Linked DNA regions of Diceros bicornis minor. The protein of the gene in region 4 interacts with the protein of the main gene of each other region in a pairwise test. Links are inferred from orthologs where the notes say so. Each region holds a gene or a part of one and is shown on either strand. Other genes may lie near its edges. The genes, in order: BAZ2B, MEAF6, PSME3 and FXR2.

Region 1 (7,772 bases), on a different chromosome or scaffold from region 4:
CAAAGGAAGTAGTAAATATTAAACAATTACTGCTATTCTAGTAAATACTAAGTGGAAAATAAGGTTAAAATCACTTCACAGAATAGAGTTTAGATTACCTGAGTATGCCTTAAAAAATTTTTTTACAATGAAAAATTTCAAAGGTACTCAAAAGTAGAGACAATAATGAACCCCTATGTACCAAGCAATAGTCTCCAACAATTATCAACGTTTGACCTATCTTGCTGTCTATTTTACCACCCTCTATCTGAAAGCAAATCCCAATCATGACATCTTTAAGGATGCCTCTTCTGATAATGTTCTAAGCAACCTGTGGTAAATGACCAAATATGGCTACGAATGCTTCCCATTCAAGTATGCACACCCCTCTGCATTGTGATGTTGCTGGTCTGCACAAAAGAGGTGGAATCTTATTTTCCTGTCCCTTCACTGTGGGCTAGCCTTCTGAGACTTACTCTGACTAAGAGAATGCAGTGTAACTGACATTATATGATTTGCAAGGCTGTAAGAAGTCTTACTGCTTCCACTTTCACTGTCTTGGAATGCTGTCTTGAGACCCCCATGTCATAAAGACCACATGGAGCAAAGCCTCAACGTTAACCAACACCAACTGCCAGACATGTGAGTGTTGTCACCTTGGACCTTTCAGCCTGAGAAACCCTCCAGCTGAAGGCTGGTACATGAGTGAACCCAGGCAAAACCAGCAGACTGTCCAACAGGCACATAGAACTGTAAAAAATTAGTAAACAGTTTTAATCCACTAGGTTTTGAGGTGGTTTGCAATGCAGCCATAGAGTAGAGCTTCATAACCTATCCTTTTACTTTCCTACAATTATTATGTACCCAGTTTCTATGAAAAATCTGATTCTATTTGAGAGTCTGACTTAGAATTTGTCTTATATATTCAGGGTAGCTGCAGTTACTGAATTAACAAAAGCACATTACCATCCAATAAATTCATGGCATGAAGGCCAGAGATATCACACAAAATACCAATGTATTTCGATAGCCAATAGTTTTCCAGAAATACAAACATAGGTACAATTCCATTATTTACTTCTACTTGGTTTATCTTTTTGTTTAAAAAATCTGCTTCTGGGGGAAAATTTTTTTTTTTCTTAATGGGAAATCCTAGTGTTTTAATGATCATAGTGAATATGGAGACATAGAAACTAAAGGTAGTCACATGAGAAAAGTACTGTAAAAGCACAGAACTTTTTGGGTCTTTTAAAAAGAAAAAGTCTCTTGATTTTTAGCTGACAAATATTTAAGAAACAAAGATATACTCAAGTCTTAAAAAATAATAACTAGAAAAAAGTTTAACATCTCCATGAGAAAATATGGCTATGATACTAAGTCTACACTAGAGTACTTTATAAAATAATCTTCTCCTTTGAAGTTTATCTAATCTGTATCAAGTTTCAATCTTCATTAAGTGGAAATCATTTTCAAGTTTTCTTCCAGAAAGTGAGAAACACGTTACAGTAAGTGCAAGGATCATAATGGAAAGACGAGAACTAGCATTTAAGGTTCAAAATTTGCCCTCTTTTAAAGCTGGTGACAAAAGTGGGTGTAGAGCGGTAGGTGCTTTTAAAACCAGGTGTTCAACTTATCTAGTCTAACCAGTAGAGCCACAGAGAAACAGATTTGAGAGCAAGAAAAACCAGCTTTGACCACGAGTTCAGACCAGAGCAGAAAAGTTAAAAATTAAGATCAATGAAAATTAAACCCCAGCCAACTCTCAAATTATGTCATCCCCCTCTTTTGGGTTCATGTTATGATTAGCAACTTCATCAAAGATAGAATTTTTGTAAAATAATGGTTTGTGAGAAGATACATTGTTTTGCTGTAATAGAATTTTGCCTTAATGAATTCAAGTAGATCTCAGTAGGAATTCAAAATCTTACTTTAAATAGTAATCATCCTAATATGCTAAGTTGTTCATTCAGTTATTTAACAGCTGAAAGGTTCATTAGTTCTTAAGTTTAATTTGTTGGTTAAAAATGAGGTTTGACGCAAGCCTGTACATTTCACTAATGCATTTCCCACTGTTCTTTACTGGCATTTAACTATCCATAGTAACATAAGGATGTATCAGCAAAGATAATCTAAAAATCATTTTTATTTGACGGAACACAATAGCTATCCATTCCCAACAGCACAGAGCACTAACTTTCTTAAAAAACAGTACAAAAGGTCTTTCATGTCATGCTGTAACCTTCCATTCAATTGTTTCAGCTATGGGGAACAAACTGTCCATTCCTAAAACCAACCATGATACCGTGACTTTGCAGTTTCCTTATGAAACTCCTAGTCATCCTTCACTTCTCAGTTCAAGCAATACTTCCTATAAAAACTTCCCTCAAAATTAAACAGCCCTCCTCTGTGCTTCCACAGTACTACTATACATTTACACTAAAGTAATAGCAGTAGTTATTTACATTAGTCTGATAGCTAAATTGTGAGTTGTAGAGGGCAGGTGCTGTGTCAAGCATTCTTGTAATGTGAAGCCCTAATCTAGTAGCCAGAATACAACAAATAAAAATTATCAAATAATGTAAAATATTTTTGTAATGTAAAATGCTTTACATTATTTGATGATTTTGCACTATTAAAATTATTTTCCTAAAATACTAAAATGTAGGCAACTCTTGAACATATACCAGATGAAGAGTCGTGTGAAGTAGATATATGGAGCCCATTAAAAATTGGAGAGCCAAGGATGACTTTTAATGTCCAAGCTGATTATCTGACATCTTCACGTAGAATATATGTGCTTGTTTGTATACAGGCATCTTTGTGCTTTATCTGGGGAAAATAAGCTCTCTTGCCAATATGGTAGAAAGAGAAATCACTTCTACTTAAATAAGTAGGAATTTTTAATCATTCTTATTCAAGACATCTGACCCAGCATGCAACTTTGGAAAAAATCCAAGACTATGCATACCGACCATACTGACATCTGTGGTATAATTTGGGGCAAAAAAAGAGTTGTAAAAAGTTCTTATCTAAAAACATTTGTAGTCTAGAACTTATATTAACATTATTATGCATGAGAAGCAGCACTATGGGGGATATATTACAGGCTGATTAAATTTTAAGGTTATTCTGATCAGAATGCCTAAATATAAATAACTGGATTTTATGTATCAATTCCAATTGTTTAATATCCATTAAAAATTCACTCTGCAAGTATTATGTCCCCCAGCGTGTTACTGCTACACACTGCCTCACCTAATTTAATCCTCACCTCAACTCTAGGAATTAACTACTACATTTCTAAGGAAATTTAAAGAGGTTAAATAATTACGGCAAAATCAAGACTTAAACCCAGATCTTCTGACTTTAATCCTCATACACCACTGCTGTTTCATAAAATGCTGTAGAGCTGTAAACAAAATACTGACCCCATTCCTGTAACAAAATTTTTACCCACGAAAGAAATCTAGTTACACTACACGCCTGCCTTAACAGTATATCGTTCGATTTTTAAATCGAAATTTCATCTTTAACCTTACCTCTTAGTTCTAGACAGAAACGGAGAGATATGAGTAATAAAAAGGGAAGATTTAAAACAATGAAAATAGAAAAACCCCTAAAAAGTCCTAAAAATCGAAAAGAAAATCTTACTAAATTCAATTTCAGTTGGCACATTTACTCTTAATAGTGCCAAACAACACCAGTCGTGAAGAATTTATGAGCAAGACAGAGATTTTCCCCATATACTAATATTTACATCTGTACGTAAGAAAAAAGTATTAATCGCAGGATTTTTCTGTGTACTTGTACACGTTCATCTTCACTACGCAGTTTCATCAAAATGAGGGAATATGTTACTACTGGTGCCTTCCATATTTTTACTTCTTATGCCAACAGGTCCGTTTTTTTACACATATCACCACCTATTTCAATTTGAAGAACAGATAATTTACTTCAATTCAAGAGGACTCCGAAGTATCACGATATTCAAGAACTGGAACGATCAACAAGCCAATCTTCGCCCCATCGAAGAGGCTGCCAAAGCCCCTTCGAGTCGAGGCTGGGTTGGCGGAGCCCTAGCCCTCCCTGCCTTCAACACCGCGCTCTCTAAATACCACGCTCCTTCAACACCGCGCTCTCTAAATACCACGCTCGTGACACTCGAGGCCCGCAGGGCTCCGGAGGAACCTCCTTAACCCCGGTCGAAGAGGAGGCCAGAGACCAAATCAGGGCTCAAGCCCCTTGCCCTCGCCCACCACACGTCCATAAGGACACGCAATCTGCCCCCTCCACCCATCACAAACTCCACCACGGGACGAAAGGCCACCGGCAGAGCGGGCCTGCGCCCAGCTCCCCTTCGAACCCGTGGTCCCGGATCAAGTTCCTCCACCCCACCTTGAGAGGAAGGAGGCGGCCTCCGCGTCCCCAGGCCGGCACTTCGTCTCCTCCCCTCCCCCACCCGCGGCCTTCACTAGAACCACCTCCCCGAGAGGCAGAAACCCGATCTCCGCAGCTTACTACCGCCGCTCCCGAGATGGCATCGAACAGGGAGCGTCCCGCTCGCAGCGACCACACCGCCGGGCACCTCCTCGGAGTTCTAGGCCTCTAACTGAGGCAGAGCAAGCGGCAGGAAAGCACAATGGCGCCCGGCCCTCTCCCGTATCCGGCGCAGAACAAGCCGCCAACGCTAAATGCCCCTCCCTTCTCCTCCTCCCCCTACTTCGCGGACTCCGCCGGCTTCTCGCGAGAGTGGCAGCGCTGCGGGGATTCCGAGAGCTGCGGGCGGGCTCGACGTACCCCACCGCCTGGTGGTGCTCTGACTGCGGCAACCGTTGAAGGGCTGGCCCCGGGGAGGCAGCGAGGCGCCACCGGTAAGCGGCTGTGGCTGGTCGGCCGGCGGGCTGGCGGCTGGGCCGGCGAGTGTGCGGGCGCCGGGAACGGGGCGCTGGAGGCCCGGCCCTGGTTGGCCGCCGTCGCCTGACTGGCGAGGGGCTCTGAGCCAGCCCTGCCGCTCCCCGGCACCCGAGTCCCCGCCACCTGCTCTTGCCCCCTCCGGCAAGCCTGCAGGGCCCACTGCCCGAAATACTGCCCGGCTCTTTTTTTCTGTTCTTTTTTTGCGCTTGGTAAGTGGCGCAGTGAATGTTTATTGACTTGAATCAAGCACTGCCTGCCCGCCTATTTGATGTCTGCAAAGCCCTCCCCTTAAGGCTAGGAGCCAATTTGTCCGGGACCTTTCGTTGCTTGTGGTAATTCAGTCTTGGTGGTGGTGTACTTTTACAGTCATGTCTTTTATAATCTTGATACTAATCTTTGACAGTGTAGCTACAGATTTTGCAGTAAAAATTCATCCATTTAGAAAGAGGGACGAAAATGGTCTGGTGAAAATTAGACGAAACTTCCAAAAAAGTGTAAATGTGGTAGACTAAGATGTAAATGAGTACTAATAAATAAAAGGCAGTAGGTTAGAGAAAAACGCCACAATTTATGTGGATTTAGGTGATATGTGGATTTTGAGTAATATATCAGACATAAAAGTTCTTTACCGGTGAAGATAAGTTATTGAAACTTGGAGGCATACTGATGGCACTTGATTTTTAAAGTGACGTATTTTATTAGGTTGTTTCAAGCAATTTATTGGCTCCAAATGATTCTAATAAATGAAGTATAAGGTTTATATGTATTTCTTTGTCATTTCATTTGAAGGGAATGTACTTTCACTATCATCCTCATTTCCCTCTGTCTTGGATACTAACAGACTGTCCGTGCTTCATTATTATAAATTGTAAAACATTATAGGTTTTTAAGGATTTAAAGTTTGATTATTATTATTTAAAGTTTAACTTTTTAGGATATGAGTTGAAGATTAAGCATCTAGTATGGGATAAAGTGAACACAGATTACTTTTGAGGAAATTAATTTGTCCTTTTTATAAAAATAATTTTTTTCCAGCCTGTTTGAGTATACCTGTAGCATTATCGTTATGGATATACACATTCTGAAGCACCAGACTACATGAGTTCAAATCCCAGCCCTGCTTCTTACTACATTTCTGGTCTTGAGCAATTCCTTAATCTTGTTAAACCTAGGTTTCCTGTAAAATGGGGTTAATAACAATACCTATACCCCATAGTGTTGTGGAAAGGATTAAAGGAGATAATACATTAGTTCCTGAAATGTAGTAAGCATTCCATAATTGTTAGCTATTACATTCTATGTCTAAACCACCACTAATATTGCCTTTCTAGGACTTCATATTACATAGATCCCCTAAACATCTTCTTCTGAAGTATATTCTATGCTAAGAGGAATGACTACACCATTTTCCTGAGCTATGGCAGTCAGACCTGGTAGTGATAACTTCTCTACAGAACCCCCAAACCTGGCAAGGATGGTTGGGATTTTGGCAGATTACGACTTCATCCTCACCCAGCACTGATGACATCATCAGAGGTGAGTGTGGCACCAATTTCCTATACTAAACAAACCTTCCAGACTCTAGTTTCTTATTGATGCTAGTGAAAATGTAAAGACCACTGATAAGTATGTTTTTCTTTTTTAAGAATGGTTAGTTGTTGTTTTTTAATGTACTTTCTCTGATTTGAGTTTCCAGGTAATTAACTATCAATAAATAATTATTGAGATTTTCCTATGTTAAAGACTATTTGTTAGGAATTGTAGGTACAAATAGGTACAATAGCGACTGTATTTTCTGAACTAAAAATCAGGACAAAATCATTTGACAGGCAAAGTATTTGAAATCGGAACTGTTCTGACCAATCTAGATTCCATGATTGCCTTTTTTGCAGAGTTCCCTCACTTGACCTTCCTTTGCTGAACTTTTTATCTTTATGACCAACTGTGACACACCTTTGGTATCTAAATATCTTAGTTCACCACTTGCCCACACCACTCACATTAGTTTCCATTTTTGAACTTGACTTCTTCTGTAAATTAGAGTCTTACTTACTATTATTATAATTTGTCTGTCATTTAACCCTGGTCATAACAGCCCTTTACTCTTATGCTTAAGTATTTCTTCAACTACTTGATAGCTTAGAATTCGCTGTCACATATTGAATTTTAAAGTTTCTGTTTTCCCCGCTTTTTATCATCCCACAACCTAACCTTCTAAGAAGCTTCTTGATGGCAAGGGCAATCTTACAGATATTCTGCACTTTGCATAAATGGTGTGGTCTTGAAAAAGTGTGGTTATGTTTGCTTTTTTTTTCTAAATCAAATCATTTTCAAAAGTAGGTTATTTCTTAAACTTTTGGGGAACAGGAGGTAATACCTGGGATGAAATAAGAGTGCTTATAGGGAGGTCCCTGAGTTGAAAACAAAGGATACCAATTTCTTCTCAAGTGGGACTCTTTCCTGAGAAAAAAGAACAAAGCTGGAGGCATCAGAATCCCTGATTTCAAAATATACTACAAAGCTATAGTAATCAAAACAGCATGGTACTGGGACAAAAACAGACACATGGATCAATGGAACAGAATCGAGAGCCTAGCAATAAACCCACACATCTTTGGACAGCTAATTTTCAACAAGGGATCCAAGAATAGGATCCAAGGGGATCCAAAGGGATCCAAGAAAGGACAGTCTCTTCAATAAATGATGTGGGCAAAACTGGACAGCCACATGCAAAAGAATGAAAGTAGACCATTATCTTACACCATACACAAAAGTTAACTCAAAATGGATTAAAGACTTGAAGGTAAGACCTGAAACCATAAAATTCTTAGAAGAAAACATAGGCAGTACGCTCTTCGACATCAGTCTTAGCAGCATAT
Region 2 (7,814 bases), on a different chromosome or scaffold from region 4:
TAAGATGACGCTGTACTATTAGTGCCTCCTGGTGTCTGACAGAAATAAATGAAATTGCTCTTTGGAGGAAGGGACTTTTTATCTCCCCTCCAGTTATTGCCACATTTTTTTCTGCAAAGAAAAGGCACTTCTAGGGCCAACCCCGTGGCTTAGTGGTTAAGTGTGCGCTCCCCTGCTGGCGGCCCCGGTTCGGATCCCGGGCGTGCACCGACGCACCGCTTCTCCGGCCATGCTGAGGCCGCGTCCCACATACAGCAACTAGAAGGATGTGCAGCTATGACATACAACTATCTACTGGGGCTTTGGGGGAAAATAAATAAATAAAATTTAAAAAAAAGAAAGAAAAGGCACTTCTAGCTGAGAACCAACAGAAATAAGATAACAGAAACTGATTCTCAAAGACTTCAGATACTTGCATTAGAAGATACTATAAAATGTTCATGGTTCCTATTTTCTTTCTTTTTTTTTTTTGGTGAGGAAGATCAGCCCTGAGCTAACATCCATGCCAAATCTTCCTCTTTTTGCTGAGGAAGACTGGCCCTGAGCTAACATCTGTGCCGATCTTCCTCCACTTTTTGTGGGATGCCGCCACAGCATGGCCTGACAAGTCATAAGTCGGTGCGAGCCCGATCGGAACCGGGGCCGCCAGCAGCAGAGCACGCGCACTTAACTGCCTCAGGGCTGGCCCTGTGGTTCCTATTTTCAAAGAAATAAATGATAAATTTTAAAATACCCACAGGGAACAAGAAATGGCAACAAATGAAAAGGAAGTTATTTAGAAGACCAACTACTTCAACAAATGGTGTTGGGAAAACTGGATAGCCATATGCAAAAAAATGAAAGTAGACCCTTACCTTACACTGTACACAAAAATTAACTCCAAATGGATTAAAGACTTGAATGTAAGACCTGAAACTATGAAACTTCTAGAAGAAAACATAGGCAGTATGCTCTTCGACGTCGGTCTTAGCAACATATTTTCAAGCACCATGTCTGACCGGGCAAGAGAAACAATAGAAAAAACAAACAAATGGGACTACATCAAACTAAAAAGCTTCTGCACAGCAAAGGAAACCATCAACAAAACGAAAAGACAACCTAACAATTGGGAGAAGATATTTGCAAACCATACATCTGATAAGGGGTTAATCTCCAAAATATATAAAGAACTCATGCATCTCGACAACAAAAAAACTAACAACTCAATTAAAAAAATGGGCAAAAGACCTGAACAGACATTTCTCCAAAGAAGATATACAGATGGCCAACAGACACATGAAAAGATGTTCAAAATCATTAACTATCAGGGAAATGCAAATCAAAACTACAATGAGATATCACCTCATGCCCGTCAGAATGGCTATAACTAACAAGACAGGAAACAACATGTGTTGGAGAGGATGTGGAGAGAAGGGAACTCTCACACACTGCTGGTGGGAGTGCAAACTGGTGCAGCCACTATGGAAAACAGTATGGAGATTCCTCAAAAAATCAAGGATAGAACTACCAAATGATCCAGCTATTCCACTGCTGGGTATTTACCCAAAGAACTTGAAAACACCAATGCGTAAAGATACATGCACCCCTGTGTTCATTGCAGCGTTATTCACAATAGCCAAGACTTGGAAGCAACCTAAGTGCCCATCAAGGGACGAATGGATTAAGAAGCTGTGGTATATATACACAATGGAATACTACTCAGCCATAAGAAACGATGAAATCCAGCCATTTGTGACAACATGGATGGACATTGAGGGTATTATGCAAAGTGAAATAAGTCAGAGGGAGAAGGTCAAATACCGTATGATTTCCTTCACTAAGTAGTAGATGATAACAACAATAAACAAACAAACAAACAGAGACAGAGATTGGATTGGTGGTTACCAGAGGGGAAGGGGGGAGGGAGGAGGGCAAAAGGGATAATTCAGCACATGTGTGTGGTGATGGGTTGTAATTAGTATTTGGATGGTGAACATAATGTAATCTATGCAGAAATAGAAGTATAATGATGTACACCTGAAATTTATACAATGTTATAAACCAATGTTACTGCAATAAACAAAAAATTAAAAAAAAAAGAAAATAGCTCATTAATTGAAAAGAAGAAATTTTGTATCATTTACAAAATATTAAATCATTTTAACAGAAAAAAAATAAAAAAATAAAAGACCAACTAAAACTTTTAGAGGGCCGGCTCCATGGATTAGCAGTTAAGTGCGCGCACTCCACTACTGGCGGCCCAGGTTCGATCCTGGGCGTGCACCGAAGCACTGCTTATCCGGCCACGCTGAGGCCGCGTCCCACATACAACAACTAGAAGGATGTGCAACTATGACATACAACTATCTACTGGGGCTTTGGGGAAAAAAAAAGGAGGAGGATTGGCAATAGATGTTAGCTCAGAGCCGGTCTTCCTCAGCAAAAAAAGAGGAGGATTAGCATGGATGTTAGCTCAGGGCTGATCCTCCTCACACACACACACACAAAAACTTTTAGAAATGAAAAACACAATAACTGTAAACCCATCAATGGATGGCTTTAACAGAAGCTTCAGGGAAAATTAGTGAACTGGAAGATATGTCAAAAGAAATTATTCAGGCACGTAAATTTAACAACTTAGATGAAATCAAACAATTTCTCAAAACCATAAAATACCAAAATACACCTGATATGAAGTAGATCATCTGAATAGTCCTATAACTATTTAAGAAATTGAATGTGTAATTAAAAGCTTCCAAAAAGAAATATCTAGGCCCAGACGGTGGTTTCACTGAAGAATTCTACCAAACATTTCAAGAATTAGCACCATTCTGTACCATCTCTTTCAGAAATCAGAAAAGCAGGGAACACCTCCTAACTTAAAGAAAACTACAGACCAACATCCCATGAACTTAGCCACAAAAATTCTCGATAAAATATTAGCAAATTGAATCCAGCAATAGATAAAAATAATTACACAACATGGCCAAGTAGGGTTTATTCCAGATATGCAAGGCTGGTTCAACAGTTGGAAACGAATGTATGTAATCCATCATATCAAGAGAGTAGAGACAAAAAATCATGATCATGTTAATTGATGCAGAAAAAGCATTTGACAAAATTCAATACGCATTCATGATAGAAACTGTCAGTAAACCAGGAATAAAGGAAAACTTCCTCAACTTGATAAAGAGCATCTACAAAAACCCTACAGTTAACATCATACTTAATGGTAAAAGACTGAATACTTTCCTCCTAAAATAGGGAACAAGTCAAGGATGTCCACTCCAACTGCTCTTATTCAACATAGAACTGGAAGTCCTAGCCAGCATAGGAAGGCAAAGAAAGGAAATAAAAAGCATACAGATTAGAAAGAAAAAAATAAAACTTCCTATTTGCAGTTGAAACAACTGTCTATGTAAAAAATCCCAAGGAATCTACAAAAAACCCTCCTAGATTAATAAGGGAGTTCAGCAAGATCCCAGGTTACAAGATCAACACACAAAAGTAATTATCCAGAATGCATCAGAGAGACAAAAAGGATGGAAAAAAGACAGTAGGCAAAAAAATAAAGGATTAGGGGGAGCCTGGTGGCGTAGAGGTTAAGTTCACGTGCTCTGCTTGGGCGGCCCAGCCGGGATATTAGCCCAGGGCCAATCTTCCTCAGCAAAAAGAGGAGGATTGGGAACAGGTATTAGCTCAGGGCTAATCTTCCTCAAAAATACATACATACATACAGGATTATTATGTTTAATCTGAGTTCCAGAAGGAGAGAGAAAATGAGGCAGAGGCATATCTGAAGAAAAATAGCTGAGAATTTCCCAGAACTGGTGAAAGATATCAATCCACAGATTTCAGAAACTGAAAGATATCCAAGCGAGGAAGAAAAAAAAAAATGAAAAAAAAAAATCCCATTCGCGATAGTGAAATTGCAGAACCCTGAAAAATAGAGAGAGCTGGGGAAGAAGCAGGGGCCAAGTGAAAACAAAGTTAAGGATGCTGGGCTTAAAGATAAATGCTAATACTTATACGTAGTCCCTATTACTTGCCAAGCCCCTACATTAAGCGATTTACTCCTCACAGCAATTTTATTTGGTAGGTACCATTACTACCTATGTTTTATAGATGAGGAAGTTGGGACAATGAAATTTAGCTGCCTGCCCTAGGCGGCACAGCTGATCAACGGTAGAGGCAGGATTTTGAATACGGTAGTTTCGGCTCCAGTTTGCGTCCTTAACCGCTGCACATACTTGTCTCTCGAAAGGGCAATGGGAAGCCATTGAAAGATTTTAACCAGGGGAGAGACACCACGTTTGTTTTCCACAAACAAATCCTCTGGCACCACTGTGGATAATGGACTAAATAGAGCTAACGGTGGAAACAGGAGGCTGTTGGAATAATGTAGCCAACAGTAGGGAGGGCCTGGATGAACGAGGGAGGTGGCAGACAAAAGCAAACGGATTTGCGGGCTCTTCTGGAGTCGAGTCCACAGGATTTGGTTTTGCATGGGATTAAGGGGGTGAAGGAGAATGAGCATGATACTCAGGTTTCTGACTTGGGCAATTGGGTGGACAGTGCAAGTCGTTCACTGAGGCGACTTAGGAGGAGGTTAGTTTTGGACACGGTGAATTCGTGGCGTCCGTAAAGCCCAGACGTCCAGCCAGGGGAGAAACACGGCTACGACCAGGAGCAGAGCGCTAACGCCCGAGGCGAGGCGCGCGAGAGCCCGAGGCCGAGAGCGCGGCGCGCGGCTCCGGAAGCCGGGCGCGCAGGCGCAGTGCGGCGCAGGCGCCCCCTGGCGGGCGGCGGCGCGCAGGGACCGCCCCCAGCTGGCGCCGCCGCCGCCCGCCTCAGCCCAACATGGCGATGCACAACAAGGCGGCGCCGCCGCAGATCCCGGACACCCGGCGGGAGCTGGCGGAGCTCGTGAAGCGGAAGCAGGAGCTGGCGGTGAGGGGCTGGCACTCGGGGCGCCCGGGTGGGTGCCCCGCGCCCGCGCGCGCCTCCGGGCCCCAGCCCCGCCGCGCCAGGCCGTTACCCCGGGAGTCCGGTGGCCGAGGCCGGGCTGCGCATTCCGCGGCCCGCCGGCGCCTCGGCGTCGCGGCCGTGCGGAGCGGGGGCCGGGGCCGGGGCCGGGGGCGGGGCGCGGAGCCGGGGAGGGGGCCGGGCGGGCGGGGGCGTGGAGGCACGATGCGCCTGGGAGTGGGGGCTTGTGCGTGGGAGCCTGGAAAGGCGAGTGTCCGTGAGCTCTGCGGGCTGGGGGAAAGCGGGCGGGTCCGCGATCTTTGGGGGTTGGGGCGGGCGTGTCGGTGGGCTGTAGGAGATTGGTTCGGGCTTGCCGGTGGGCTTTGGGGCGGGTGGGGTAGCACCAGGGCGGGTATGGGAGGGGCACCTTGTTATCCAGTCTGGCCTTTGGAGGATGGAGGGGCGCATGTCCTTTTGGGAACTAGGAGTAGATCCGTTGGATGGGGTTTTTGATGGGCAGATGTGATGTGTTTGGGAACATCTAGAAAGTGACAGGCGAGGGGAACGGGCTCAGTCTAGGGAATTATGAATTGTGACATGCAGCCAGGGTCCCATGCACCCTGATGGCTAAGCCCTCCCTCCCCATGGCGTTTTGGCTTGGGCAGCGGGAGGCCCATCTCACCTGAAGCTGCCCTTCCAGGTTTCCATAGCAACTGGCAGCCTAGCGCAGGCGGCCTCTCTGAGCCTTCCGGGAGGGGAGCGAGTTGGCGCAGGAGGCTGCGCAGCCTTCCTTCTCCCCGGTAGCGGTACCTTTTATGCGTGGGAGTGGCGACCGCTCACGTTCTGCCTCAGCCGGGGTTCTTGACAGCTAGGTTTCTATGAACCCTCTGAAATATATGGACAATTTTGCACGCGTGTATATTTTTCTGGGGACGCGCTCTGTCTATTCCATTCTATTCTCAAAGGGATCCAACAAGACAGGTCTAGACTGGCTTAGTCTGAAGCAGCGTGCCCCTCCCCATATGATCCGTCTTTCTACCAGGGTGGTTTAGTGTAGTTGAGCTTGAGTTTTCAGTTTGATCAGACTTAACGTTTGCGTTTCAAAGGCATTATCCATTTTCCTTGTTTTTCATCTCTCAGGAAACACTGGCAAACTTGGAGAGACAGATCTATGCGTTTGAAGGGAGCTACCTGGAGGACACTCAGATGTATGGCAACATTATTCGTGGCTGGGATCGGTATCTGACCAACCAAAAGTGAGTGTCAGAAGCCTGCAGTGTTTGTGTTGTACCCTAGTAGTATTTGTTTTTAAGGATATATGTATTCTTGGTGGCAAGTTTGCAGGGAGGCAGTAATAAAGTGGTGGTGGGGAAAGAGATCTGGGCTTGAACTTGGACTCTGGCTCAGCCATTGCTTCACTGAGTAATTCCGGACAAATCCTACATCACTAAAGTAGAAAGTCCAGCCTATGGCACAGGGTTGTGTGAGGCTTAAATGAAGTACAGCATATAATACTTTACACAGCAGCTCTCTTGTTAGTATTTTCCACATTTTAATCAGTCATGAGCTCCGCCCTCACGATATTTGCCATACCTGTGTGCCAACTGTACTACTATTTATTTAGTAATATTATTTTTGAAAACTGTCTGAACTTTTTGAAATTTTTCAAATCTATGGAAAAATTGAAAGCATAGTGCATGAACACTTGTTACCCTTCACCAGCATTCACCACTTGTTAACTTGTTGCCACATTTGCTTTCTCTCTTTCTTTTCTCTTCCTCTCTCTATAATATATGTAAACACACACATCTATCTATACTTAACTTGTTAAAAAAATTTTGAAATAATTATAGATACGTAGGAAGTTGCAAAAACAGTACAGGGAGGTCTCATGTACCCTTCACCCAGTTTTCCCCAATGGTTGGGTTTTATGTAACTCTAGTGCACTATCAAAACCAGGAAATTGACATCGATACAATGTGTATATGTAGTTCTGTCATTTTATCATGTGTGTAGATGCCTGTAACCACCTCTGCAATCAAGATACAGAATTGGGGCTGGCCCCGTGGCTTAGCAGTTGGGTGCGCGCGCTCTGCTGCTGGTGGCCTGGGTTCGGATCCCGGGCACGCACCGACACGCCGCTTCTCTGGCCATGCTGGGGCCGCGTCCCACATACAGCAACTAGAAGGATGTGAAACTATGACATACAACTATCTACTGGGGCTTTGGGGGAAAAATAAATAAAAAAACAAAACAAGATACAGAATTGTTCCATCACCACAAGGATCTCCCTCAGGCTGCCTCTTTGTGGTTATATCACCCCTTTCCCCATACTTTTTTTTTTCCCCCCCAAAGCCCCAGTAGATAGTTGTACGTCATAGTTGCACATCCTTCTAGGTGCTGTATGTGGGATGTGGCCTCAGCATGGCCGGAGAAGCGGTGCGTCGGTGCGCGCCCGGGATCTGAACCTGGGCGGCCAGTAGCAGAGTGCGCGCACTTAACCGCTAAGCCACGAGGCCGGCCCTCCCCATACTTTTTTTTTTTGCTAAACCATTTAAAGGTTAAAAGCAGATATATCATAACACTTTGCCCCTGATTATGCCAGCTATTACCTCCTAAGAATAAGAACATTTTTCTTACCTAACCACAGTTATCGTGCTTAGAAAATTATCACTAAATTAATAGCATCATCTAATACACAGTCTTTATTCAGATTTCCCTAATTGTCCCCAAAATGCTTTGCTACCTTGTTTTGATCCACGTAGCATCCGTGCATTGCATTTTGCTGTTACGTCTCTTTAGTTTCTTAATTTTGGAGAGTCTCCCACTTTTTTGGTGGTGAAGTTGTTTATGAGGTTGTCTTGTGGAAT
Region 3 (7,835 bases), about 31 Mb from region 4:
TATAATACGTATGATGAGGAAAATAAAAGATGGTGATGTGATAGAGAATAAGCAGGGGCAAGGGTGGGTGGAGTTACTTCAACTGGGGGATTCAGGAGGGCCTCTGTTAGCTGGGAAACCATTGAGGGTGAGAAGCAGGGGGAAAAATAAATAAATAAAATTAAAAAAAAAAAAATTTGTTCCTAGAGTCAGGATTTCTGGGTCACAGATATATATACATACATATATATATATATACACATATAATTTATTCAGCTTTTTTTTTTATTTTATTTATTTTACTTTTTTCCCCCAAAGCCCCAGTAGATAGTTGTATGTCATAGCTGCACATCCTTCTAGTTGCTGTATATAGGACGTGGCCTCAGCATGGCCGGAGAAGCGGTGCGTCAGTGCGCGCCCGGGATCCGAACCCAGGCCGCCAGTAGCGGAGCGCGGGCACTTAACCACTAAGCCACAGGGCCGGCCCTATTTATTCGGCTTTAGTAGATACTGCCATTCTTGTGGTTGACATATTAAAAGATAATTAAATCTTGGGTGCTGAGTAGAGACTAGACTGTGGGGGGGAGGTAGGGGGTGGCAAGAGTGAAAAGGGAGAGACCAGAGAGGAGTCTATTGTAATAGTCCTAGCGAAGGATGACAGTGGCTTTGACTAGGATACCAAGAGAGGAGATGGAGAAAAGCATACTTATATGGGATTCATTATACAGGTAAAGCTGACAGGACCCGCTGATGGATTGAACGTGGGGAGATAAGGGAAAGAGAGGAATCAAGGTTGATGTGTTTGGTTTGAACAAGTCGGTGGACAGTTGCATTGGTAACTGAGATGGGGCAGAGCAGGAAAATAACAGCTGTGTAGCAGAATCAAGAATTCTGATTTGGCCACGTTATGTTTGAGAGGCCTATTAACTGTGTAAGTAGAGATATCAAATAGACAGAGCTCAGTGAAGATGTCAGGACTGGAGATATCAATTTAAGGCCATCAGCATACAGACGGTATTAAAAGCTATGAACACAGGTGATAACTCTTAGGAAGAAAGTGTAAGTGGAGAAGAATAAAGGACATAAGACTGAGCCCTGGAGCATGCCATCATTAAGAAGTGGAGCAATGGAGGAAGAGCCGGCAAAGGAAACAGAGAAGTCACCACTGAAGTTAGAGGAAAATTGGAAGAACAGGTTGCTGTGTATGTTTTAAGAACAGGGATGGTTAACGTGTTGAGTGCCACTGAGAGGTTCAAGTAAGATGAAGAGAGTTGACCGCTGGTGCTGTCAACATGGAAGTCATTGGTAACCTAACGAGAATTACCTCAGTGAGAACAGGGGGTGGGAAAGCCTGATTGGAGTGGATTGAAGTAAACAGGAGATGAGGAACAGAGTAAGAGACAATATCATTCAAGAAGTCTTGCCATGAAGAAGAGCACAAACATGGAGCGATAGCTAGAGAGGAACCTGGGTTCAAGGGTGGGTTTTCCTCAAGATGGAAAATATCTGTCATGTTTGGAAATGATCCAGTAGACAGGGATAAATGTAATATAGTAAAGAGAATAGATAATCACTGGAGCACAGACTTTTAGAAGGTGAAAGGGGATGGGATCCAATGCACAAAAGGAAGAGTTGAGTTTTGATGGGAACAGAGATGTTTCCTTCAATGAAAGAGGACGAAAGGCAGAAAGTAATTGCAAGCTAGCAGATTTGGTGGCGAGATGAAGTTCTCATTTACTTCTGTTTTCTCAATGAAGAATGAGCCAAGACCATAAACTAGAGGTGAGAGGGGAGGGATACTGGAGGTTTAGGAAGATGAGAACATATGATAGTCATTTTGAATCTGGGAGAGTAAACTTGTCAGGAACATGTAGTAGGCTCCCAGGCAGCGTTGTGCACCCATCTGAGATTTGTGGACATGCATTTAAAGTGAGACCATGGGGCCAGCCTGGTGGCATAGTAGTTAAGTTTGTGCACTCCACTTGGGTGGCCCAGGGTGCACAGGTTTGGATCCCAGGCACGGACCTACGCACTGCTCATCAAGCCGTGCTGTGGCCTCATCCCATATACAAAATAGAGGAATATTGGCACAGATGTTAGCTCAGGGCTAATTTCCTCAGCAAAAACAGGAGGATTGGCAATGGATGCTAGCTCAAGGCTGATCTTCCTCACCAAAAAAATAAACAAATAAATAAATGAGACTAGTCATCAGTGATCACATTTTGATTCATAAGCACCCTGGAATGAATAAAGTTTATTAAATATAGTGGTGCCCTCAGCAATTGTTCACTGAATAAATAAATAAACAAATGAGTGGAGTATTATATAAAATGTTTGGATGGGGAGGAGGAAGAGAAATAAAGAAGGAATGTGTATCTGTCTTCTTACAACTTACTTGAGGGAGACAAAACATGATTATTTAAGAACAAAGCCATATTTCAACAAGCGCAAACACATTAAGTTTTCAAGTTGAAGTTACTAATTCTGAAAGAAATGAAGGATAATGGCATACTTAAAATAGGATGAAGTTAATTTGGGAAAGCATTCCTGAAGTTAAGTTCCAGATCAGAGTTCAAAAGTTACTAGGGACAATGTTAACAGAAAGCAGAGGTAAAAGGGGGAAAACCGTTACACGTTAATGAGCAAGATGGGTAGTATAGGCTATGTTGTATGCAGCCTTGAATAAGTGGAAAAGTGCTTTGAGTTTGAAAGCAGGGATGATGATAATTACGTAGTTTAAGGAGTAACCTCCTCATGCTAAGCACTAACAGGTAGCTTATCCGACAATGGCTACTATTTATCTAGTGCCTTCCTTGTGTCCAGGCACTGTGCTAGTTCTTTTACATATATATGATTTCCAGTAGTCACAACAACGCTACAGAATTACATATTATTTACTAACAATGATTAAAATTCTATTTTACAGATGAGGGAATTGAGACTCAGTATTTCAGTATTTTTCCAAGATATCACAATAAGAAGCTGAGGTGGGATCTGAAGCCAGGTCTCTCTGATTCCAAAGGCCATAGTCAGTCGCACTTCATTTAACTGTGTATTCCCACCATATCCCTTGCTCTTAGCACAGAGGCCTGCCCAGGACAAGTGTTCAGCCACAAGAGTGACCCCAAAATGTAAATCAGATGACCTGCCTTTGCACTTAATCAAAGTTATTTCCTAACAACCCTCCCCACCCCATTCCCACTCCCACCCCCAGCCCTAGCTCACTAACCAGTTTTTCAACTTCTTCAACAGGACATGTTTCCTTCCCCAGGGCATCTGCCTGTGCTGCATCTTCCCAAGGCTCTTCCCCTCACTCTTCCCAAGCTAGCTCTTTTATATCCTTTAGATTTCAGCTTAACTTCATTGAGAGGACTTCCTTGGCCATTCTATCTAAAATAGATTCCTAGTACTCTCTACATCAGTCATTTGTTTCCTAACATTTATCAAATTTTGCAATTATGTTGAAGGTTTACTTTCTGGTGCCTTTCTCCAGTATTAAGACCCATGAGACCAGACAATTTGAGTCTTTTTCATCTTTGATTTCCCAGAGCTGTGCTGTTCAATACAGGAGCCACTAGCCACATGTGGCTCTAGAGTACTGCAAATGTGATGCCTCTGAATTGAGATGTGCAGTAAGTGTAAAATTCATACCAGATTTCAAAGACTTGATATGATATGAGAAAAGAACGCACAAGATCTCATTAATATTTTTTATATTGATTACACGTTGAAATGATAGTATTTGGATAAACTGGGTTATAAACATGATCAAAATAAATTTCACCTGTTTTATTTTTTAATGTGGCTACTAGATGATTTTAACTTACGTAAGTGACTCACATTATATTTCTAGACTCCGGGACGGTCCTGGCCCATTTTATTAAGCGAAATAATCAACGTTAAGAGACAGACCCAATGAATGGGTGAGTGAAGAGATAGTCTCTGCATTCCATTAGGAAAGGGATACAGCATTGTCCTCGAAGTCAGGAGATTGGGGCTCTGGTCCAGGATTTACTGGAAACACTGTGTAGCCTTAGACAAGCACTACCCAACTCTGGGCGTCAATCTGCCCATCAGGCAGTTGATCTCTGAGGTCTGGAAGTGTATGAGAATAAGTGGCGGAAAAAGGTGGGGAAGTCTGGTACAATACAACTTGTCTTCTGTTTGGCTTTATCCTAACACTAGAGTTTCGGCCAACAGGAAGCGGCTGCAGGAATCGCAGACTAGACCCCCTGAACCCAGCGCCGCGACCGCCGTCTTCCTCGGGCCGACGTCACCGGTGCGCGACGGCGTCGTCGGTACTGTCAAGGCGGCCGCGGCTCAAAAGGTTCCCTCGGTGAAGGCGAGCGCTCGAGTCTGTGAGGCTCAGTTCTCAGTAAAGCACCCTCCGCCGCCCTCCCTCTTACCTCACTCCTCCTGGGAACTAGAGCCAGGGAGACATAAGCCGGGCCCACAGCGTCCGGAGCCGAAACTCAGCGCGGCTGCGCACGGCACGTGCGCATCCTCGCCGGAGTCCCGGCGATTGGCTGTGACGTAACTTCCGGCGTGAGCGGCGAAAGCCGGGAGGGCGAGCGAGAGAGCCAGCAGGCAGCGGGCGGGCGGCACGGAGGAACGGAGTCAGCAGTGAGGAAGCCAACGAGGGCGGCCGCGTCCCGAGAGCAGCCGAGATTCCTGCCGTCCCTCTGACCGTGTCCCCGGAGCCCACAGCGCCTCCGGTCTCCAGCGGAACGGACACGGCCCGGCCCGGCCATGGCCTCGTTGCTGAAGGTGGATCAGGAAGTGAAGCTCAAGGTAGCGGCACCGGTCCGGGCCTCCTTACCCCTCGCTTCGATGCCGAGCAGTCTGACCGCCTCCCCACTCCCTGGGAAGTCTTTATCTCCCTGGGGACACCAGCTCTGAGCTTCCGCTCTGCTCAGCCCAGCCCCCCACTCCCGGAGACGCCATCGGTGGAGAGGATAAAATAGGGTGGTCTTCTGTATCCCGTTTGGTGGTGGAGAGCCCCGGGGAGACCTCTGCGAACACGTGGTGGACTCAGTGCTCTAGACTAGTGACAGCTGGAAGTCCCCGAGCCTAGCAACATCGCCGCCGCCAGACGCTGCCCCTGCCCTTGGCGTCAGGCCTGCCTGATATCGTAGGCCAGGTTTGGGTGGGGGTTGGCACGTTTGTGAGGTCACACCTCCCTTAGCTACCTGTCTTTTGTCTGCTCTCAAATTCAGACACAGGGAGAGAGGGAGGGAAGACAGGTGGGTGCTGCCTTCAAAGCCCTGCTTCCCTCTCCTGAGATGGAGAAATGGATCCTCAAAAAAATAAAGTATTTGCAGTCTGGGGGCCTTTCAGCTTCTAATTATAGTTACAAGGTGAGGGAAAGACAGCCGGATTTGGGTTTCCCACTCCAGCCCTTACTTCTGTTGCCAGGTATTGACTTGCTTTTATTGAATTGCTCTCTTTGTTAATTTTAGGTTGATTCTTTCAGGGAGCGGATCACAAGTGAGGTGAGTGAAATAAATAGAAAAATGAGTGTTGGTTAATAGTTGGGACTTTCCAAAAGAAGAGATATCAGAGAGGGACCTTCCCACAATTATTAATTTAACTGTATTTCCCCTCATCTTTAGGCAGAAGACTTGGTGGCAAACTTTTTCCCAAAGAAGTTGTTAGAACTTGATAGTTTTTTGAAGGTGAGAGACCCTTTTCTTTTCCTCAAATTCCCTAATTTTTTTGGCCCTGGTCTTTCTGTCAAATGGGACAAATGATGTGTTGGTTCTGTTTTGTTTTGTACTGTAAAGCATTCTCATTTCTTGCCCTTCAAATGAAATACTTCTTTGTTCATCTTGAAAAGACTAATGTTTGTTTTGGGGGTGGGTGTCTCTCTTTCAGGAACCAATCCTAAACATCCATGACCTAACTCAGATCCACTCAGACATGAATCTCCCAGTTCCTGACCCCATTCTTCTCACCAATAGTCACGATGGACTGGACGGTGTAAGCGTCCTATATTTATCTTTGTGTCCTGAAGCAATAGGTTCTCTGTCCTCTATTTCCTGGTCAGTTTGAGCATGTGCAGAGGGGACAGTGGGATTTGAATCTGAGAACGAGGACTTTTAGAGACATGATGACTACAGTACACCCCCTTTACACCCTGACTTTCATTTCTAGCATGAGGTGAATATGCTAATACTACTCCGTGTTAGAGTGGGTTTCAAATAGGACTAATAGCTGCAGGTTCCCTCAGGTTATCTGGTCTGTCCCCCTGGCTCTAAGTAAGACTTTTCTTACCTGTTTCAATGTCTGGAGTCTTGTTATGGGGTGAGTAGTTCTTGCTATATAACTGCAGTCTCTGTCTTTGCTGTGTATCTTCAGCACCTAATCCTTATCAGTTATATATCCACATTTTCTTATAACACTGATGACACTGTATTGTCTTTTGTCTGCATTACTGTCTCATTGATAGAACTTGTAATTGTGGAAAGCAGAAACTGTCTTAATCATCTTAGTATCCCCAGCACCTAACATTGTTGCTGGTACATAGCAGATGCTCAATACATTTGTTAACTGAATATTGTGTTTCTTTGTGGAACCAGCAGATTTGTACATATTCCCTTAATTATCCGCACCCTGCATTGAATGGTTCATTTTTCCTATTGTTTATAGTATCCACCCCCTCCGCTATATGCTTACTGTGTTATATTTCTTGAAAGCTTGGTCTTCCTACTAGAGTGTAAGTTGCTTTGTGGCAAGGACCTTTTCTTAAAGCCTTGTATGTGCTTAGTAAATTGTGCGTCAATTAATAAGACAACCTGTGGGGTTGAGGAAGGGATTAAACTTGCTAAAAGGTAACTTGTGATGGGGACGTGGATGTTGAGAGCAGGCTAATTCCTGTCTTTCTGTATCCTTAGCCCACTTACAAGAAGCGAAGGTTGGATGAATGTGAAGAGGCCTTCCAAGGTAAGAGCCAACCCCTACTCCCTAGTTTGCAGGATGGATCTGGTGTTCTGCTGGCCAGGAAGCAGGATCTTATTTTATTTCCCAGTGTTAGCATTCCCAAGTTCTCATAACATGGTCATTGTTTAGCACTCTAAACCTAATTTTCCAATAAACAAGAAGGATTTGATTTAGTGTGGACTGCCAAGGGAGAGAGATTGGAGATGGCTACACACTGCAGATCTTTCACAGAAGTTCCAATTCCATGTTATTTTTTCCTCTTCAATAATGATTGGTGTATTAAATCTTTAGAGCATATTTTAATTTCCTTATTCTTCAGACCTTTGGCATACCTTGGACACTCATTTGTTAATCCATACATTCTCTGTTTTTAATTCTGTGGTGGTGTCATGGTTTGTAGATAGGGTTGTGATAGATAAAAGGCAGAAGTCAGGGGCCGGCTTGGTGGCGCAAGCGGTTAAGTGTGCGCACTCTGCTGCAGTGGCCTGGGGTGCGCCGGTTCGGATCCCGGGCGTGCACCGACGCACTGCTTGGCAAGCCATGCTGTGGTGGCATCCCATATAAAGTGGAGGAAGATGGGCACGGATGTTAGCCCAGGGCCAGTCTTTCTCAGCAAAAAAAAAAAAAACAAGACTACTTATAACAAATCTTGGGCCGGCCCCATGGCTTAGCCGTTAAGTGCGTGCACTCCGCTGCTGGCGGCCCGGGTTCGGATCCCGGGCGCGCACCGACGCACCGCTTCTCCGGCCATGCTGAGGCCACGTCCCACGTACAGCAACTAGAAGGATGTGCATCTATGACATACAACTATCTACTGGGGCTTTGGGGGAAAAAAATAAAAATTAAAAAAAAAAAAAAAAAGGCAGAGGTCATAGCATCTCACAGGTCTGGGGAAGAAGAGAGAAGGGTGGGGGATG
Region 4 (7,050 bases):
GAGAGGGGTAAAAGGGACCTTCCCAAATTTATAGTTCTGGAAGCAATATAAACAAACACTCCTTGACCCACACTGAAATTTGCTGAGTCATGAATATTAAATCAGTAGCAAGGTCAGAATAGCTAAGTATCTATATGGCACTGAAAGTTGAAGAAAGATTAGTTGAATTTAGAGATTTACTATTGTTTTTAACCGAGGCATGGGGCAGAAAATGCTAAAGTAGCCAGAACACAAAATCCACATTACCTAGCTTTCAGCTTAGCTCCAAACTCTACTCTCTGATTCAAAGTATCCTGTCCCCAATTCACTCAAGTCTATCATTGCCACAGCCCACAGGAGAAAAGAAAAAGATTCAGAGAGCGATTTTCTGTTGGACACTCATATGTGGAAAGGAAAACATCTCCCTTCCCAGTTTTCTTTTTTTTGTGAGGAAGACTAGCCCTGAGCTAACATGCGATTCCAGTCCTCCTCTTTTTGCTGAGGAAGATTGGCCCTGGGCTAACATCCATTCCCATCTTCCTCTACTTTATATGGGACGCCGCCACAGCATTGCTTGACAAGCGGTGCATCGGTGCGCGCCTGGGATCTGAACCTGCGAACCCCGGGCCGCTGACATGGAGCGCGCGCACTTAACCGCTACACCACCGGGCCGGCCCATTCTTCCCAGTTAATTTGAAGTGGATACCAATCTTTCCCAGCTGCACTTGGCTCCCACGTTTCCTAGAACAAAAGCAAACATCATATCTTGATCTCAGACTCAATTTAAGAATCACTCTTCTTGGAACCCAGAATTTCGAGTGGGAAGGACCCAGATGAAAGACAAGATGGGAAAATTGGGGCTAAAATCTTATGAGGAAGGGTATTTCAACAAAGGTAATGCTGGTTTGGGGGAAAAGGATATAAGAGACAAATGTACTCTGTCAGAATCAGAAAGGAATTAGAGACTGCCAAAGAAAACAGAAATGCTATGGAGACAGGCTAGAAGAAAAAGTCCCATGAGTTAGGAAAGTATGCAGAAAAAATGACAGAAGAGGATCAGCTGGGAGCTTCTTTGAGACACGGAGTAAGATAGTTCCTGGGGATTACAGAGGAATACAGAAATACTAGGATAAAAAGCCAAAGACTTAAATTCAGAGAATAAGTTAAGATAGACAGATGTGGGTACCCTCAGGCACTGAATATAAAAAAATCTGGTGAGGGAAGTAGGGCAGAAATGGATAGGCACTTAGAGTGGGTAAAAAAATGCCTACACTGAACTTACCAACTGAAGCTGGGGCAGAAACCTTCCACTACAAGCGCAAATATGAGACTCTTTCCAGTTACAGTAAGATATAACTTCACAAGGAAGGAGCTGGAGAAAGTCATTTCCAAGGGCATGAAGGTAGAGAGCTCTTTTATGGGAGAATAGGTTTGAGGGGAAGTAAAGGAAAACGGGGCTCTTCTCACAAGTGATGTTATGAGAAGATATCTCAGCTCTTGCTCCTCAGGGTAAAATGAAAGACTAAGACAGAAATGTCTGCAAAAATTCCAGGCATAAAGTCCAAAGCAGTTCAAAATAACAACAGTCACACAAAGAAAAATTCCTGAGAGGCAAGAGGGGTCTCCCTCTGGCTAAATGTAAATGTCCTAAAAAATGTCCTAGAAAAGGAAATCTAAGGAACCAAATCCTGGGTGATGGGCAAGCTTAAGTAAACAAGGATCTTTTAAAGACAGTCCCCTTCTTCTTCAAAAAAAGGCTATCAGATTCCCAAATTGGGAGAGTTGGCCAAAAGTCTTCTAGAAGTGGAAATCCTTAAGACAGAAGGAATCCTCATGAGATCCCCTTTTAGAGATCATGAATACGAAGCTTACACTCATTTAGAAACGAAATGAATGATCTAAATGTATTTGAGGTGAAAGTGAGACAACAAATACAAATCCACCCCTGGGTAGACTGGTAAACCAGCTAGCCTTGGGATGAAGGGGTGGGGTGAGAGACTTGTGAAAAGATGCCACCCTATGGCTAAGGAGGCAACTTGATGGTACAACCCAGAGTTCCTGAGGTCAAAGATAACAAATGTCATAAATGGATTTTGACCGTTTCTCCTTGGGTTGGGAACAGAAATACAAGATGAAAGTGGGGTGAGTCTTCCAGAGCCAGTAGGAAGAGGCCTCTCCCAGGAAGACGAAAGGATCTAATATGGGACGGCCTTCCCAAGGGGTTAATAGGGAAGAATAAAGAGAATTCTCCATGTGCTTGGACTGTGGGGAAGATGTGATTAAGGTCTAAGGTATGTCTTCCACTAGGAAACAGGAAAAGTCAATAGGAAGCTGGGTAAATGGGGTCTCTTGGCGACGGGGGCCGGAGCGGCGGACGACACTGATCTAAGCACAATGATGACCTGATGTTCAGTCTCTGAGAAGGAGGTAAAAGCAGGTGAAATACCAAGAGGTAGGGGGTTAACTTCCAGAGGTCTCCCCAGGAGGGCTGCGGGTGAAAGTGTGGGTCTCAGGTTCTAAGGGTCAGGACTTAGCTCCAGAAGCTCGATCCCGCCCCACTCTTCCCTGCTCTGGCTGGAGGGAGGGGGCTAAAGACGGGTGTCCCCGGTCGGCGCGCCGCCTCACCTTGTAGAAGGCCCCGTTGGAGCCGCGCACCTCGACGGGCAGTCCCGGCTCCACATCCCCCCCAGAGGCCAGGCCGCCCATGGCGCCGCCACCTCCTCCGACTCCCCCGGCGGCTGCTGCAGCAGCGGTCTGACCACGGGCCGGGCCAGGGCCCCGGCGTCTCCCCGGAGGAGGAGCCGGAGGGGGAGCCGCGGGGGGCGGGAGCCGGGCCGGCCCCACGGCGGCCCTGCCACAGCCAACGAGCAGGGGGCCGGGGCCGGGCCGCTCCCCGTCCGCCGCCGCCGCCTTGGTCTCCGCCACCGTGAGGGAAACGGCCGCCGCCGCCGCTGCCTTCGTCACCTCAGCTTCCGCCCGCCGCCGCCCCGCAGCTGCCTCAGTCCCGGGACCCGCGGCTGCCGCTGCCTCTCCACGGCCTCCACCTCCCCCTGCCGCCTCCGCCTACTGCGCAGGCGCACCGCGCACCCGCCCGCCGCGCGCGAGGCCCCGAGGCTCACGGCGCAGGCGTCAAGACTGGCGACCCAGCTCGTGCTCGCCAGCGCATCAGGGCTTCCACAACTCCGTTTCACTCTCGCACGCCCCCTCCTGGTCGCTTACTTGCGCTTGCGCAGAACGAGATTGGCCCCCTTTCTTCGCCACCACCACTCCACCGCCCCCAGCTCTTCCTTTCCCCGCCCCACAACACTGAGAGTTAACCAATCGTGGGGAGGGAGGAGCCGAGCTCACTCAGTTGGATTGGATTTCTGCAGCTCCTGGTCAGACCACAGCCACTTTACCACTGGGAACTCCCCCAGGCTTGGACAAGTTAGGGATGGGCATGCGCCTAAATGACTGCTTGGTCACTTGCCCCACCTTTGTCTTTCTTGGTGCGCACGCTCTAAAGAAAAAAAAGAAGAGGAGTCGAAAGGCAAAAAAAGGTGCCCGGTGCGCAGGCCCTGAGCTTTACTGTCCATAGGCGTCTACCGACTCTTGAGCTTCTGTAACTCCTTCCCATAGGAAATTTGAGTCACGTTGTTGCCTAGAGAAAATTCTGATCATGCATATAATGAAAGGTTAAAAAATAATTTCAAAGCAGTACCGAAAAGCAAGTGCAACTTAGATCAGCACAAAATGTGATATCTAAAGGCTGAGGAAATTCAAAATAGGAACAATCGTTATGGAGTAAGGATAGTAGAGGGGAAACTTCGGGTTCTTGAACTAAGGAAGAAATTTAGGTAGAAGCGAATAAAAATAGCACAGAAATTAGAATCACGTGTTGTGCATTTAGTCATTTAGCAAAAATTTATTTAGCCTTCACTGTGTTCCAATCACTGTGCTAAGTGCTGGGGATACAAAGCCAAGATGTGGTCCCTGATCTCAAGGAATTTATAATATATTGGGGAAGGGGCAATTAAACAAGTTTAAATAAATAAATTAACAAATAAGTGCATAGAGTTTGACTGAAGATATGATAGAGATAAGGATTAGGGATAGAGAAAATTCCAAGGAGACAATGGTCAGTTGTTCTTCGGAGTGATCAGGGAAGGCCAAGCAGAGGTGATGCAAATTGAGATTTGAGGGATGAATAGAAGTTTGCTAGAGGAAAAGTGCAGTAAGAGTATTCGTGAGAGAACAAGGAATACAATGGTGCAGAGGAGCAGAAAGAGTATGTCTTTCGGGGGAACCACAACCAGTTCAAATAGCATTTGGCTTGAAGTAGGGAGCTGCAGGAAGCTAGACTGTGAAAGACTTGCAAATCAGATTAAAGAGAATGGCTTTTACTTTATCAACAACGGAGAGCCATTGAAAGGTTTTAAGCAGTAGTATAATGGGATAAGATTTACATTTTACAACTGTGGAGAATAGATTAAAGAGTAAGGGTGAGACCTGTGAGGAGCCCTTGCAGGTAAGAAAGATGCTGAGGATCTACCTTGATTAGGGCTCAGGGTAACAGAGGTACAAGTTGATTTACACCTGTTAAATTTGCAGTAGAATCAACAAGAATTGGTGATGAGGGTTCGGTGGGGTGGGGGTGAGGAGCCAATGAAGAAGAGGGAGGAACACGGGACAACTCTCAGATTTCTACCTTGGGTTACTGAGTGAATGGTGATGCCAATCATGGAAGAGAGAACACAAGAGACAAAGGTTTGGAGGAGAAGTTGATGAGTTTAGTGATTTTAGTTTCCCTCTTTGAGTCAGAGGATCCACCATCCAGGTGGACACGATCCTTTGTCTTCAACAAACTTCTCTTTCAGGTCTCAATTTCTCGGGCCGCCCCGTGGCTTAGCAGTTAAGTGTGCGCGCTCTGCTGCTGGCAGCCGGGGTTCGGATCCTGGGTGTGCACTGACGCACCGCTTCTCTGGCCACGCTGAGGCCGTGTCCCACATACGGCAGCTAGGATGTGCAGCTATGACATACAACTATCTACTGGGGCTTTGGGGGGAAAAATAAATAAATAAAATTATTAAAAAATATATATATAATTTCTTTAGCCTTCTACTATGCCCACACTAGGTTAGGCCTCCCACCTCCCACTGCCAAAGCATCCTATATTCCTTTGTGGCACTTATCATGGTTGTAATGTTAATGATTTGTCCAGCATCTTTCTTCTGCCATTACACTATAAGCTCTGTGAGGTCAGAGACTGGGTTCCATGTCTGTTTGTCCCCACCATTGTACACCCAGGACCTGGCACAGTTCCTGGAATGGCAAATATTAACTGAATGAAGGAATCAGTGTCCTGCAGGTCAATGGACACACAGGCGTGTGGCCCAGGAGAGGTCTGGGCTAGAGAGGTGGATGTGGGAATCATCAGCATGTTAGTCATAGTTAAAGCTGTAAGAGAAAATTAAATCTCTAAAGGAAAGTGTAGACTGAGAAATGAATTGGGTCCATGATGGAACTCTCAACTACACCAGTATATGAAGGGCTGATAAAAGAAGAGGAGCCTTCCAGGCGCCTGAGAAGGAACAGCAGTAAGTAGGGTAACAGAAAGGTAAAGAGACTATTAGCAGTGATTCTGGTAAGGAGTAGGGAGAGTTAGAGAACTTAAGTGGGGCAGATTATCAAGAGTGCTGGCTGTCAGACTGAAGAGTGTGGGTTTGGACTCAAGCAGTAGGGGTGACAGAATTTTGTTTTAGAAATGGCCCCATCACCAACTTCCAAGCTTTTGGCACCAACAGTCCTCTCAGGCTTGATTTTTCCTCTTCCTTATCTGCTCTGGTCATTCTTGATTCAGGCAAAGGATGGGAGTGGGAAAAGGGGAACAGCATTTCAGACAGGAGAATGGCATGTGCAGACAGCTCAGAGAGGAGAATACAGTGCATTTGAGGTACTGAAAAGAGTCTAACATAGTTAGAACCGACTTGGAGAGGAAACATGGTTGGAAGGGTTGGTTTGGGCCAGAGCTTGGAGGGATTAAATATATTTAGAAGTTTGGACTTTCTGCTGAGAGCAGAGGGAGCCATTACCGGATCTTCAGCAGACTTGCCTTTTAGTAAGATTATTCTAGCTGGAGTATAAAGGATGTGTAACAGAATGATCCAGCTTGCCTTAGGACTTCTGGTTCTTTCTTTTTATTTTTTTGTGAGAAAGATCGGCCCTGAGCTAACATCTGCCAATCCTCCTCTTTTTTTGCTGAGGAAGACTGGCCCTGGGCTAACATCCATGCCCATCTTCCTCTACTTTATATGGGATGCCACCACAGCATGGCTTGACAAGCAGTGCGTCTGTGCGCACCTGGCATCTGAACCGGCGAACCCCGGGCCGCCGCTGCAGAGCACCGGAGCTTGTGCACTTAACCGCTTGTGCCCCCGGGGCCGGCCCTGCCTTAGGACTTCTAAATAGAGAGATTGGGAGGAAGATAGAAAGAGGGATAGATTGATAGATGGATGGTTAGATAGATACTGAAAATGAGGATTAAGTGAAAGTTTACATACTGAATGTTAAGACTTCCCCCAGACTCCTTCACCCAGCTCTGAGAATACCTACAGCCAGGTTTATACCCTCCAAGTAGGAGTTTGGAAGAGCCTTTTCTGGAAATCTGATCAGACAAGAAAAAAGACCTAATGATACTGAAATCAGAGGCTCCTCATGGAAATAGCCTAGTGGATCACCCTATAGGAGAGGCCATAGTCAACATGCCTCCCTACCGCCCACATATACACACACAGTTTCCAATCAGTATTTTAGTGTCCCAATCTTCAATATCAGCAGACAACTAAGGATTACCAGACATTTGAGGAAAGCCTCTAAAACGAAAGACAGAAGCCAAAACAAATAGAGAAAGAAAAAAAAACATAGAAGAAATAAAGACTATGCAAGGAGAAAAGCATTTTTAAATAAAACTATCATGAATATCCTCAAAAAGAGAAGAAAAGAACATATATCTATGAAACAAAAACAGAATGTTTAAAAAAATGCAGAGAGGGCTGGCCCCGTGGCTTAGTGGTTAAGTGCGCGCACTCGGCT

The links.
Region 1: the proteins of FXR2 (region 4) and BAZ2B interact in binary tests that used the Homo sapiens proteins (3 or more experiments, as listed by UniProt). The two-hybrid records come from large-scale screens. The link is inferred for Diceros bicornis minor from reciprocal best matches to the Homo sapiens genes FXR2 and BAZ2B.
Region 2: the proteins of FXR2 (region 4) and MEAF6 interact in binary tests that used the Homo sapiens proteins (3 or more experiments, as listed by UniProt). The two-hybrid records come from large-scale screens. The link is inferred for Diceros bicornis minor from reciprocal best matches to the Homo sapiens genes FXR2 and MEAF6.
Region 3: the proteins of FXR2 (region 4) and PSME3 interact in a two-hybrid assay, tested with the Homo sapiens proteins (2 studies listed by BioGRID and IntAct). The link is inferred for Diceros bicornis minor from reciprocal best matches to the Homo sapiens genes FXR2 and PSME3.

What each region holds. Positions count from the first base shown.
Region 1 is NC_080749.1:42,355,658-42,363,429, reverse strand, and holds the start of BAZ2B (bromodomain adjacent to zinc finger domain protein 2B), read left to right. Parts: upstream 1-4,755; 5' UTR 4,756-4,850; intron 4,851-6,224; 5' UTR 6,225-6,429; intron 6,430-7,772. UniProt on the Homo sapiens protein: Regulatory subunit of the ATP-dependent BRF-1 and BRF-5 ISWI chromatin remodeling complexes, which form ordered nucleosome arrays on chromatin and facilitate access to DNA during DNA-templated processes such as DNA replication, transcription, and repair.
Region 2 is NC_080752.1:51,572,144-51,579,957, reverse strand, and holds the start of MEAF6 (chromatin modification-related protein MEAF6), read left to right. Parts: upstream 1-4,809; 5' UTR 4,810-4,839; coding exon 4,840-4,929; intron 4,930-6,084; coding exon 6,085-6,200; intron 6,201-7,814.
Region 3 is NC_080757.1:41,839,912-41,847,746, forward strand, and holds the start of PSME3 (proteasome activator complex subunit 3), read left to right. Parts: upstream 1-4,835; 5' UTR 4,836-5,261; coding exon 5,262-5,336; intron 5,337-5,438; coding exon 5,439-5,471; intron 5,472-5,591; coding exon 5,592-5,654; intron 5,655-5,853; coding exon 5,854-5,958; intron 5,959-6,872; coding exon 6,873-6,921; intron 6,922-7,835. UniProt on the Homo sapiens protein: Subunit of the 11S REG-gamma (also called PA28-gamma) proteasome regulator, a doughnut-shaped homoheptamer which associates with the proteasome. 11S REG-gamma activates the trypsin-like catalytic subunit of the proteasome but inhibits the chymotrypsin-like and postglutamyl-preferring (PGPH) subunits.
Region 4 is NC_080757.1:10,725,631-10,732,680, reverse strand, and holds the start of FXR2 (RNA-binding protein FXR2), read right to left. Parts: upstream 3,014-7,050; 5' UTR 2,686-3,013; coding exon 2,605-2,685; intron 1-2,604. UniProt on the Homo sapiens protein: mRNA-binding protein that acts as a regulator of mRNAs translation and/or stability, and which is required for adult hippocampal neurogenesis. Specifically binds to AU-rich elements (AREs) in the 3'-UTR of target mRNAs.